2 linked regions of the Neurospora crassa OR74A genome follow. The protein of the gene in region 2 purifies or fractionates together with the protein of the main gene of each other region. This does not show direct contact. Links are inferred from orthologs where the notes say so. Each region holds a gene or a part of one and is shown on either strand. Other genes may lie near its edges.

The links.
Region 1: the proteins of NCU03095 (region 2) and NCU04770 purify together in Saccharomyces cerevisiae (affinity purification with mass spectrometry; 5 studies listed by BioGRID, with this or other methods). This does not show direct contact. The link is inferred for Neurospora crassa OR74A from reciprocal best matches to the Saccharomyces cerevisiae genes TAF7 and SPT15.

Annotation. Positions count from the first base shown.
Region 1 is NC_026506.1:755,690-760,152, reverse strand, and holds the start of NCU04770 (TATA-binding protein), read right to left. Parts: upstream 3,031-4,463; 5' UTR 2,181-3,030; intron 1,776-2,180; 5' UTR 1,719-1,775; coding exon 1,465-1,718; intron 1,407-1,464; coding exon 1,331-1,406; intron 1,256-1,330; coding exon 829-1,255; intron 767-828; coding exon 750-766; 3' UTR 1-749. Other genes in the region: NCU17074 (hypothetical protein), read left to right, coding at 3,636-3,911, 3,971-4,075. UniProt on the Saccharomyces cerevisiae protein: General transcription factor that functions at the core of the DNA-binding general transcription factor complex TFIID. Binding of TFIID to a promoter (with or without TATA element) is the initial step in preinitiation complex (PIC) formation.
Region 2 is NC_026501.1:4,523,214-4,527,732, reverse strand, and holds NCU03095 (transcription initiation factor TFIID subunit 7), read left to right. Parts: upstream 1-1,598; 5' UTR 1,599-2,081; coding exon 2,082-3,773; 3' UTR 3,774-3,995; downstream 3,996-4,519. Other genes in the region: NCU03096 (bromodomain associated domain-containing protein), read right to left, coding at 1-28, 121-523; NCU03094 (hypothetical protein), read right to left, coding at 4,427-4,519.

The sequences.
Region 1 (4,463 bases), on a different chromosome or scaffold from region 2:
GACTTGATCTCGGGTATCGGTAGTGGTTATTTTAATGTTTTTCTTCAGGTGACCAACTCAAACGTCAACCCGCAGAAAGCCAACCTCCTTCTCCTTCATCTTTCGCAGTGACCCCCTGTTTCCTTCATTCCCCAGGTTAGGTCCCTCATCTGCCATTAGAAGTGGGTATGTGAGGAGAAGATGTGATGGAAAAAAAAAAGGGATGTGAACGGCAATCGACCTGCGCAACATTGCCGCCGACAACATCAACCCGCTAGCGCGTGGTATTTGTGTCATTTGTGTCGCCAGTCAACACTACAATTGACCACTCTCCTTTTCTCCCCCCAACGCGCGATCTGCTCTATGGCTGTTTTATGAATCGCCGAGAGGGAAATGACCGCCCCGACTTGAAATAACGTAGCAAGAATACCGCTCTTTCTTCCTTCTTTGTCGAACCTGAACGCCGCTGCAATGCTGCTGAAGAAAATAAAATGATGACGTAACCGCAAGAAAATGGACAGGACATTGATACAATGGTTCTCCCTGTCGACTCTAGCGCCGTACTCCGCTTGATGGTCGTAGTAGACGCAAACCGCGAGTCGCAAGAAAGTGATTTTCGGTTTTTGGGTATGGGTGAGATTCGTCGTGAAATCATGATAGGTGTTTTTGTGGGTATAATTACAGTTGTCGACATGTTGTGTGAGAGGTGTTGTGCTGCTGCACGCGGCGGCATGACGATGATCACTATGTGCGAACTTCGAAAAGACTCTTTAGACCTTGCGGAAGTCTGGAGAAAAACAGTTAGTGACAATGAACACAGCAGAAAATGAGAGACATATGATAACGAACCTTGAAGCACAGGGTAGATCATCTCGAAGGCCTGGTAGATCTCCTCACGCACTTTCGCGCCGGTAAGGACGATTTTTCCGCTGACGAAGATCAAAAGCACAATCTTGGGCTTGATCATGCGGTAGATGAGACCAGGGAACAACTCGGGCTCGTATGAGCTGAAGTTGTGATGCTTGGAAGCAAGACCCTCGAGACGGATGGGGAACTTGATGTCGCAAGAACCGACAATGTTCTGAATCTTGAAGTCCGTGAACTTGGCGTTGAAACCGAGCTTCTGGATGATACGAGCGTACTTGCGCGACGCAAGCTTCGAGTCATCTTCGGACTTGGCACCGGTGACAACCATCTTACCGCTGGCGAAGATCAAGGCAGTGGTCTTGGGCTCACGGATACGCATGATAACCGCAGCAAAACGCTTGGGGTTATACTGTTTGCGGCTGTTAGACAACCATGGCCAAGACAGACAAGTTCAAGGGACCCCGCAATCCAACCCGTCACGTACCTCGGCGTTTCTCGCATGCAGGGCAATCGTCTTCAGATCAAGACGACAATCGAGGTTGACCGTCGCGACGATGTTCCTGTTTGGGTCAGCCCACAGCCCCTTGAGGGAAAAAAGAAAAGCCAAGGTCTTCCTACTGTAGAGTAGGGGTCATGCCACTGGTGGGACCCTGGTTCGCTGCGGGCGTAGCCGCGGGGGTTGCGGGTGTCACCCCATTGCCGTTGGCGGCCTGCGCACCGATAGCTCCATTGACCGCGGCGCTCTTGTCGCTGTTCGCGGTGGACGTGGGCGGCGTGAGCTCGCCGGCCGCACCGGGGAAGGACAGGGAACCGGGCGCAGTGAAAGCCTTCGCCTGAGCGGCGTTGGACGGGTGGGTCTGGATAGCATCCATCTTGAATCAAATCTGAGCGCGAGTCTGAGACTTGGATTTCTGCGTTCTCGAACAGATCTGCGACCAGCGCTGTATTAGAATTACCGTAACAAAAAAGTTGGTAAATGAGCGAAAGTGCGGTGCAAGATTGCGCAGATGTGCAGAGGCTGGTTTGTGTAAAAGCCAAGTGCAAGTTTGTGGTTGTTTGGGGGAAAAGTTCCAACGGCGCGAGAAATGGTTATTTTATATGTGGGCGGGGGGCTCGAGGGGCCGGTTTGTCACTGGATAGTGGGGCAACCGTGGTGAAATAGCACCTCCCACCTATTCACCACCAAATGGACAATGCAATGGCATGGGATGGGATGGGATGAAATAGTTGCCACCAAGGCTCAACTGAACCTCGACTCAACCCAGTGCAAAAAAGGCAAGGTGTGGACGCAAAGGACGGGACGGGCAGGAGAGCGAGAGCTAAGAAGAGCTTACCAAATGCGGGAGATGAACAAGTTAATGTCTCCCCCAACACTTCTGTTCCTTTCCTGACAAGCACTCTTGGTAGGCACCTCTTGCAATCGACGATGCGTCAAGAGGATTGGATATGTGTCGCGGTGGTTCGACGGTGATGCGTTGACGACCTGACGGTAGGCGGCAGTGGACGAATGTCGAAGTGACTGATGGCTTCCCTTTGTTACGTCGGAACGCAGGTAGTTCACTCTGGAACAGCTCACGGCAATGGATGACCGTAACCGGGACAGCTAAGGCAAGATGATGATGAGATGGTAAAGCGATGCACTGTGGCCTGTGCAACGAACTGAATCTTCTATTATCCTCGACGCCTAAAACGAAGTAGGTCGACGGCGGACGGAGGAGGTCGGATTCTTTTGCAGGCAAAGGGCGACGGTTATGTGTTTCCTTTGTCCGGAAGAGGATCGGATCTCCTGTCTGACGGCCGACTGACTGTGATTAACCCCTAAACCTAAATGAGAGAGATGCGCCCACACAACGCAGTGACGGTGACGGCGGATGGTAGAGAGAGAGAGAGATGATTGAGAGTAAAACGTTGAACGCACGACAGCAGGATGATGCTGTGCTGGTTGTGCTTCGTTGGATCTTCTGCTTCTTCTTCTTCTTCTTCTTCTTCTTTCTGGATACCCGTGACAACAGCGACGACGACGATGCGTGTGATGCGTGTATGCGGACGGGGCTGAGCTTCTCTGGATGGAAGTGGATTTGGAGATGAGGGGTGTGGTGGTTGTGGTGGTGGGGAAAATGAAAAGAAAATCGAGGCCGCACGCAGGTATCGGATACGTAGGGCCGGTCGGGACTTCCGCGCGAGACTCTCGAAACAATGGGTTGGAGGGAGCGCCCACTACTTATAATTTTCGGCCCAGTCTACGCTATGTCGCCTAAGGCACCCACGCTAATCTTGTGGCGGCGGGTCCCCTGGTCGTTATCTTTTTGGTGCGCCGCACTGTGAGCCGGATGCGGCCAATCAGCTGCCTTTATTGGCCCTTTTTATCTCTCTTGCCTGTTCGCTCATGCTCCCTCACCCCGTCCTGCCGCCTCCTGAGCCACCCAGACATGCAGGCTTCCTCGATGTACCGGTACTTCTGTCTGACCCTGTCCTCTCTCCTGGCTCCTGCTCTCCACTCCCTGTTCAGCAGCCAGAGCGCCCTTTCTCATCCTTCCCCTCCCCCACCAACCCCAAATCCGACAAACCTGCTGTTGCCAAGCCAAGTATTGGGCTGGAACGGCCTCCAGCATGTCGTAATATGTTAACCCTCGCCACACACTCTTCGTCACAACAGCAACCTTCTGAAACCATTTTATTCCTTCCTCGCTTTTCTTTTGGAACGAACCGGTCAGGAAACGATTCTTTCTCCCTTTTTGCTACTCTATCGTTCGGCTTAGGTTTGGGCGCTTGGACGCATCATGCCTTGAATGTTGTCCTTCAGCTTCATCAATCAACTGATGGTCTCACATCTATCCCGGCGTATCATCATGGCTGTTCAATCAATCATCATCCATCCATCCATCTATTCGACATCTAGTGCACAGCCGACACTTCCTCGTGTTGTGTCCGGGAATTTGCGTCGCCACTTCCTCGGTGCTTTTGGGCGTTGCGCGGGCCTGTGGTGGGCGGTCATTCCATTCGGCGGTTCTGTTTCGACAACAGCGAGAAGCGACGCATTGGCGGTTGCTCACCTACCTCTGGAGGTAGGTAGAGGTAGGCTTGCTCTCGCTTGATTACCAACCTATGATCTCAACTGGCTCAGCACACATCGATCTCCCGCCCATTATCGATTTATGGCATCGGCCTCGGCGCAAACTGGACCAACTTCCAACTTCCCGCTTCGAGGCCTCCCTTCCTCGGCTCTTGATTTCGTTTCTCATGGCGGCTACTTTCAGTGGACTTCATCTAACCAACCGCAACTGCTGCACCGCAATCCAGCTGAATAGCTTCTCGACATTTGGTCACCGCAACTTCCACATGGCGCTTGCAACTTCGCCTGCAACACATCCGACACTGCCAGGACTTCAGCACACTCTGCTGCCTGTTTAGCGGATGACTGCGAAACCGACCGGGTTTCGCTTTCTTGCTTCGGGTACCGAATTTTGCCAAACCATTCCGCCACATCCCCAAAACCAGGAGTTACAAAAGCACCGACATAAAACAGCATTCACAGTTCCAGGTTCAGCGCGCAGACAGAAAGGGGAAAAGGACTGACTCGCAGGCATGCTACCGGCACACCTCAAATGGACGCAAAA
Region 2 (4,519 bases):
TCGTTTTTGCTGTGTTTTAGCTTGAGAGCTATAATAGATAGACTGCTGTTAGCTGATCGGATCGAGTCTGAGGTGAACTTATCTGCCGGGACCTGAACACAGGCAGAAGATTGAACTCACCATTGAGATAATCCGTCGCCTCGTCACTGTCAAGCGCTATCCTCTTGATCTCCTTGTTGACCGGACCTGCTGCCCACGCGACAAAGGCGTCCACTCCCCGAGTGTCTTCCACGCCGTTATACAGCTGTTCCAGTTCCGATTTCTCGGGTAACAGAGCGCCGATTTGCTGCAGGGCCATGCGCACGTCGACTATCGTTGGTACCAGCTCGCCCGTCTCGGGCTCTTCGTTATTGTGCGCGGCGAAGGTGGCTGTGAGGCGACAGAGTGCGTCCAGGTAGCGGGCGGCCATATCAGTTACTGAGTCGAGGACAGAGGTGCGGGCGCCGTGGTAGCCGGCTGCGCGGAGGATCTGGAGAATCGAAGGCCGGAGGAGGGCGTGGTAGAGGTATGGTGGGGGTGTCATGTTGGCGAGAGTCGCTCGGTTTCAGCTAGGTAGGTTTGATGTCGAGGATGGCGTCGCGTTGCTCGAGAAATGTCGTTGGGAAAGGTTGTCGTCTACAAAGGTGCCAGGTCTGATTGGATATGATACAATCAAGAGGGTAGGTGAATGGGCGCGCTGCAGATCAAGAACTGCCATACGCGCCTGGCCTCGTGCACTTGTTCTTCGTTGTCGAGACACTGTCTGCGAGGTTTCGTGTCTTTTTGCTTGTCGATGCAGTGGGGACGACAAATAGTCAGAGTCGGAGACTGATCAGCTATACCAAGAAAAATGACTTGGGCTGAACCGTGGCGATTAGCAGCGCGTTGCTGGCAACAGATGGAAATTGGTTTTCCTCCAATTCAATCGCAGGCGACGAGGTGGGTTAGGTTTTCGAGGGAGTTTGCGGGCTTGCGGCAGGCAGCTCTAGTGGGGCGGGGATGGGTATCGTCACTGCCGTGCAGTGTGTTCTTGGAACTGGGTCCCTTCAACGCTCGCCGGAGGTGAAGGCCACTGCGTAATATCGAAGAAGTCACAAGCCGACGAAGAGTGCCAATGCATGCGTATTAGGAAAGTTTTGTTTGTTAATTATGGTTGACAATAGGGAAAGGAAATAAAAGAGGATTGGATGAAAGACAGAAGGCATAGAGAGTTTCCGGGGTCTTGGCGGGTGAAACTGAGGAGGCATAAAAGTAGGTCCACATTGTCACGGCATCGTGCTATATTCAAAGTAGTATAAGAGGTAAAATAGTATCTTGGAGGAATACAAGCTTCTTGGCAATCCCAAACCTTCTTCTCACTCGGGCCAGTCGCATTGATACCTCTACACTAGAATGGGTGATTTTCATCAGGAAAGCACATGTCAAGTCGAAGTACACAGGACGTTCTGGAACAGTTGGACAGCGGCACGTTTCTATTGTACCCCACCTGCCGCTGAGGAACCGTAGTGGAGTCTTGAAAGCCAAGCTCCGATTTGGACCGTGCAACGACGGACTTTAGCTAAAGGGGGCCCACCCACTTTAACATTTCCACGCTGACGCTCGTTGCATCATTTCCACTTTCAGAACGCGCTTGTCGCAACAGCGGCTTTGATAGCTGCACCGAGCGCGCCTCACCTCCCGCTTTCCTCCCCGCCCACCAAGAAACCTCCCGCTCTCGCCCAGGCCCGCCAAAGAACGCGAAGAGCATACCTCCGCCGTACCTTGTTCGATCCACATCCCCCGGTAGCAACAAAGAGGCATCGCGCCTGTCCGTCATCACCTCGCCCTCATCGAAATCTTGACGGTCAAATCATTGTCCAGTCACGACCGGCCGCCCATTCTTAATACCTAGAGGTCACCTCGTACCGGTGCCTCCCGCCCGATTCGACGCCGACTATCCATACTACCTACGCCAGTACTCAGCGATTGAGCATTTCCTCCGAGTGATCTCTGGATCATTCGCTTTATTCCTCAACGTCCTCATCGTCACACGACCTCAAGACGCCGCAGCAAACCGCTGAAACGGATTACCAGAGCGCCTTGCGCAACGACAAACAGCAAACATGGACCCACCAGGGCCAGTCAAGCGGACATTGACGCTCAAAATCAACACTCAATCCAATGGCTCATCTCAAGCAGGCAGGACGGGATCACCGGCAGTTACACCTGGGCCTGGCCATAACCTCTCTGCCGCCTCGCCACCTCCTCAGACACCGGGGGGCTCACAGGGCCCTCGCAAGATCAAGCTCAACGTCAAGGGCACGTCCTCACAACCACCAACACCAGCCGGGCCGAGACCGCCGTCGCATTCCAACACTTCATCTCAGCCGACACAACCACGGATATCAACAGGAAGCTCGGCTGCTCCCAACATCTTCATGTCCAAGCCCAAGACGGCAAGTAAAGTCTTCTTGAACGCGGCGGCGAGAAAGAGACCAAGAGAAGAGACCGAGGCGGAGGACGGTCCGACAGCGAATGGCATTGGGGGAGAGTCAAGGCCCAAGAAGATCACGCTCAAGGCACCTTCGGGCACAACCCCAGTTCAAACTCCGCTTCTAGCTCCCAAGGTTCGCCTAAAATCGCAGGGCAAAATACCGACGCGGCCGCTGGGGGAGGGTTACGATTCGGAGGCCGATGATAGGGAAGTCGACCCAGTAATTGAAGAGCAGCTGATCTTGCGCATGATGCCTGGTGAGCACTGCGACTATCTCCGGAAAGCCGTGGCTGAAAGGAAAGTGGGCGTTCCTAAACATCAAGGTGGCGCCGATGTTACAATGAAGTTTCTGGATGAAGAAGGACGGCGAGTAATGTTTGTTATTCAAGGGCAACCGTACGCCGCTATTCTGGTTGATCTACCCACAATCACCGAGGGCATGAAGACGTGGGATAAGAAATCCATGGTCAAGTCAGCCGACATTTGCCAAATGATCCTTGTCTTTGCTAAGGTCAAAGACGAGGCGGAGGCCAAGTCGGTTCCTTTACCCAAGGCTGTCGAGCATGGCCACAGATGGCCCCATGGTATCACCCCGCCGATGCATGATGCACGAAACCGGAGGTTTAGAAAACGCCTCAGCAAATTGGAAATCCAGAACAAGGAAGCCGAGGTCGAGCGGTTGCTGGCAGCAGACAGGGAAGCCCTCAACTCCAGGTACGAGCTTGTAGCAGAGGGCGGGCACGGAAATACCGCTGCGCCCGAGTCCGATCACGAATACGGTGACGAGGACGGAGGCATGGGAGGCGAAGAAGACCGACTAGAGGACTATTTCGGGGACGCAAATATGCAGAACCAAGACGACGACAACCTGTTCGACGATCTCGAGGCAGAATTCGAAAACGCGGCAGACACACCTGCCGAAGCAATGGACGCCATGGACTTTGGCGCTGCCACGCCCACGGCGTTAGGCGGCGGCATGGATCTTCCCACACCCCCCACCGCCAACACGGGTACGCCTACCGCTGCACAAACCGAGGAGAGTGCGGCCGAAGCAGTCAGCGAGGAGGACGAATCAGATGAAGACGACGAGGATGATGAGGGTGACATGGACGATGACGGCGATGAAGAGCGCCATGATGAGGTGGCGGGAGTCAAGGCTGAGATTGCCACACTGAGGAAGCAGCTGGCCTCGTACGAGGAGCAGTTGTCCAAGGCAACAAGCATTATCATGAAGAAACGTCTGGAAGGCAGTATAAAGAACATCAAGTCGGAGATTAAACTGAAGCAATCTTCGATTGGTGAGGTGTCCGAGGAAGATTGAAGGGGGTATCCAAGCTGTGCTGTTATGGACCTGGAATCTATTTCAGAGAAAGGATTATCGTATGGGCCATATTATATCATGCTAGCCAGAAACTCAGAAGTCAGTGAATAGCAGCAAGTTGAGAATGCCCAACGAGCGGCACAAAGAAATGGCACTTGTTAGGCAATATATTTACCGATGCTTGGGAAGCAAGCACACGAGCAAAATTCTGACCTGTTGTCCAAACATTCAATAATTTATGGTTACTAACTGAATCACATGTATTTGTACAGAATCGTTTTTGGATCTAACCATAGCAAATGGCTCTCTGGCTGTCCACTCCAGGGCTCTCAGGCCCTTCACCCTCCTGAAGCCGTATATAGTTTTCTTACATTCAGGACAATTCCCCCATGTCCATGTCCGCTTTCGTGCCCGTAGGTAGCCATACCATGAAGTCGTTCTTGGACGGTTGGATGTTAGTACACATACGAGCCCACCACATCAACTCGGCTGCTGCTGCTGCTGCTGCTGCTGCTGCTGCTCTAGCCGTCCCTCCTTCTCTCCCTTCACGTGCTCCCCCTCTTCTTTTTCTTCCTTCCCACCCATCTCCTCCCATGTTTCGTCCTCGTCCTCCCTCGGGCCTCTGCCTCTCGAACCACCACCACCCCTCATGCTTACATAGCCTTGAGGTAGTTACTCTCCTTAATCTTGGCCTTGCGCTCCTTGCGCATCGCCTTGCGCAGCTCCTCCCGCTTCTCGTCCGCCAG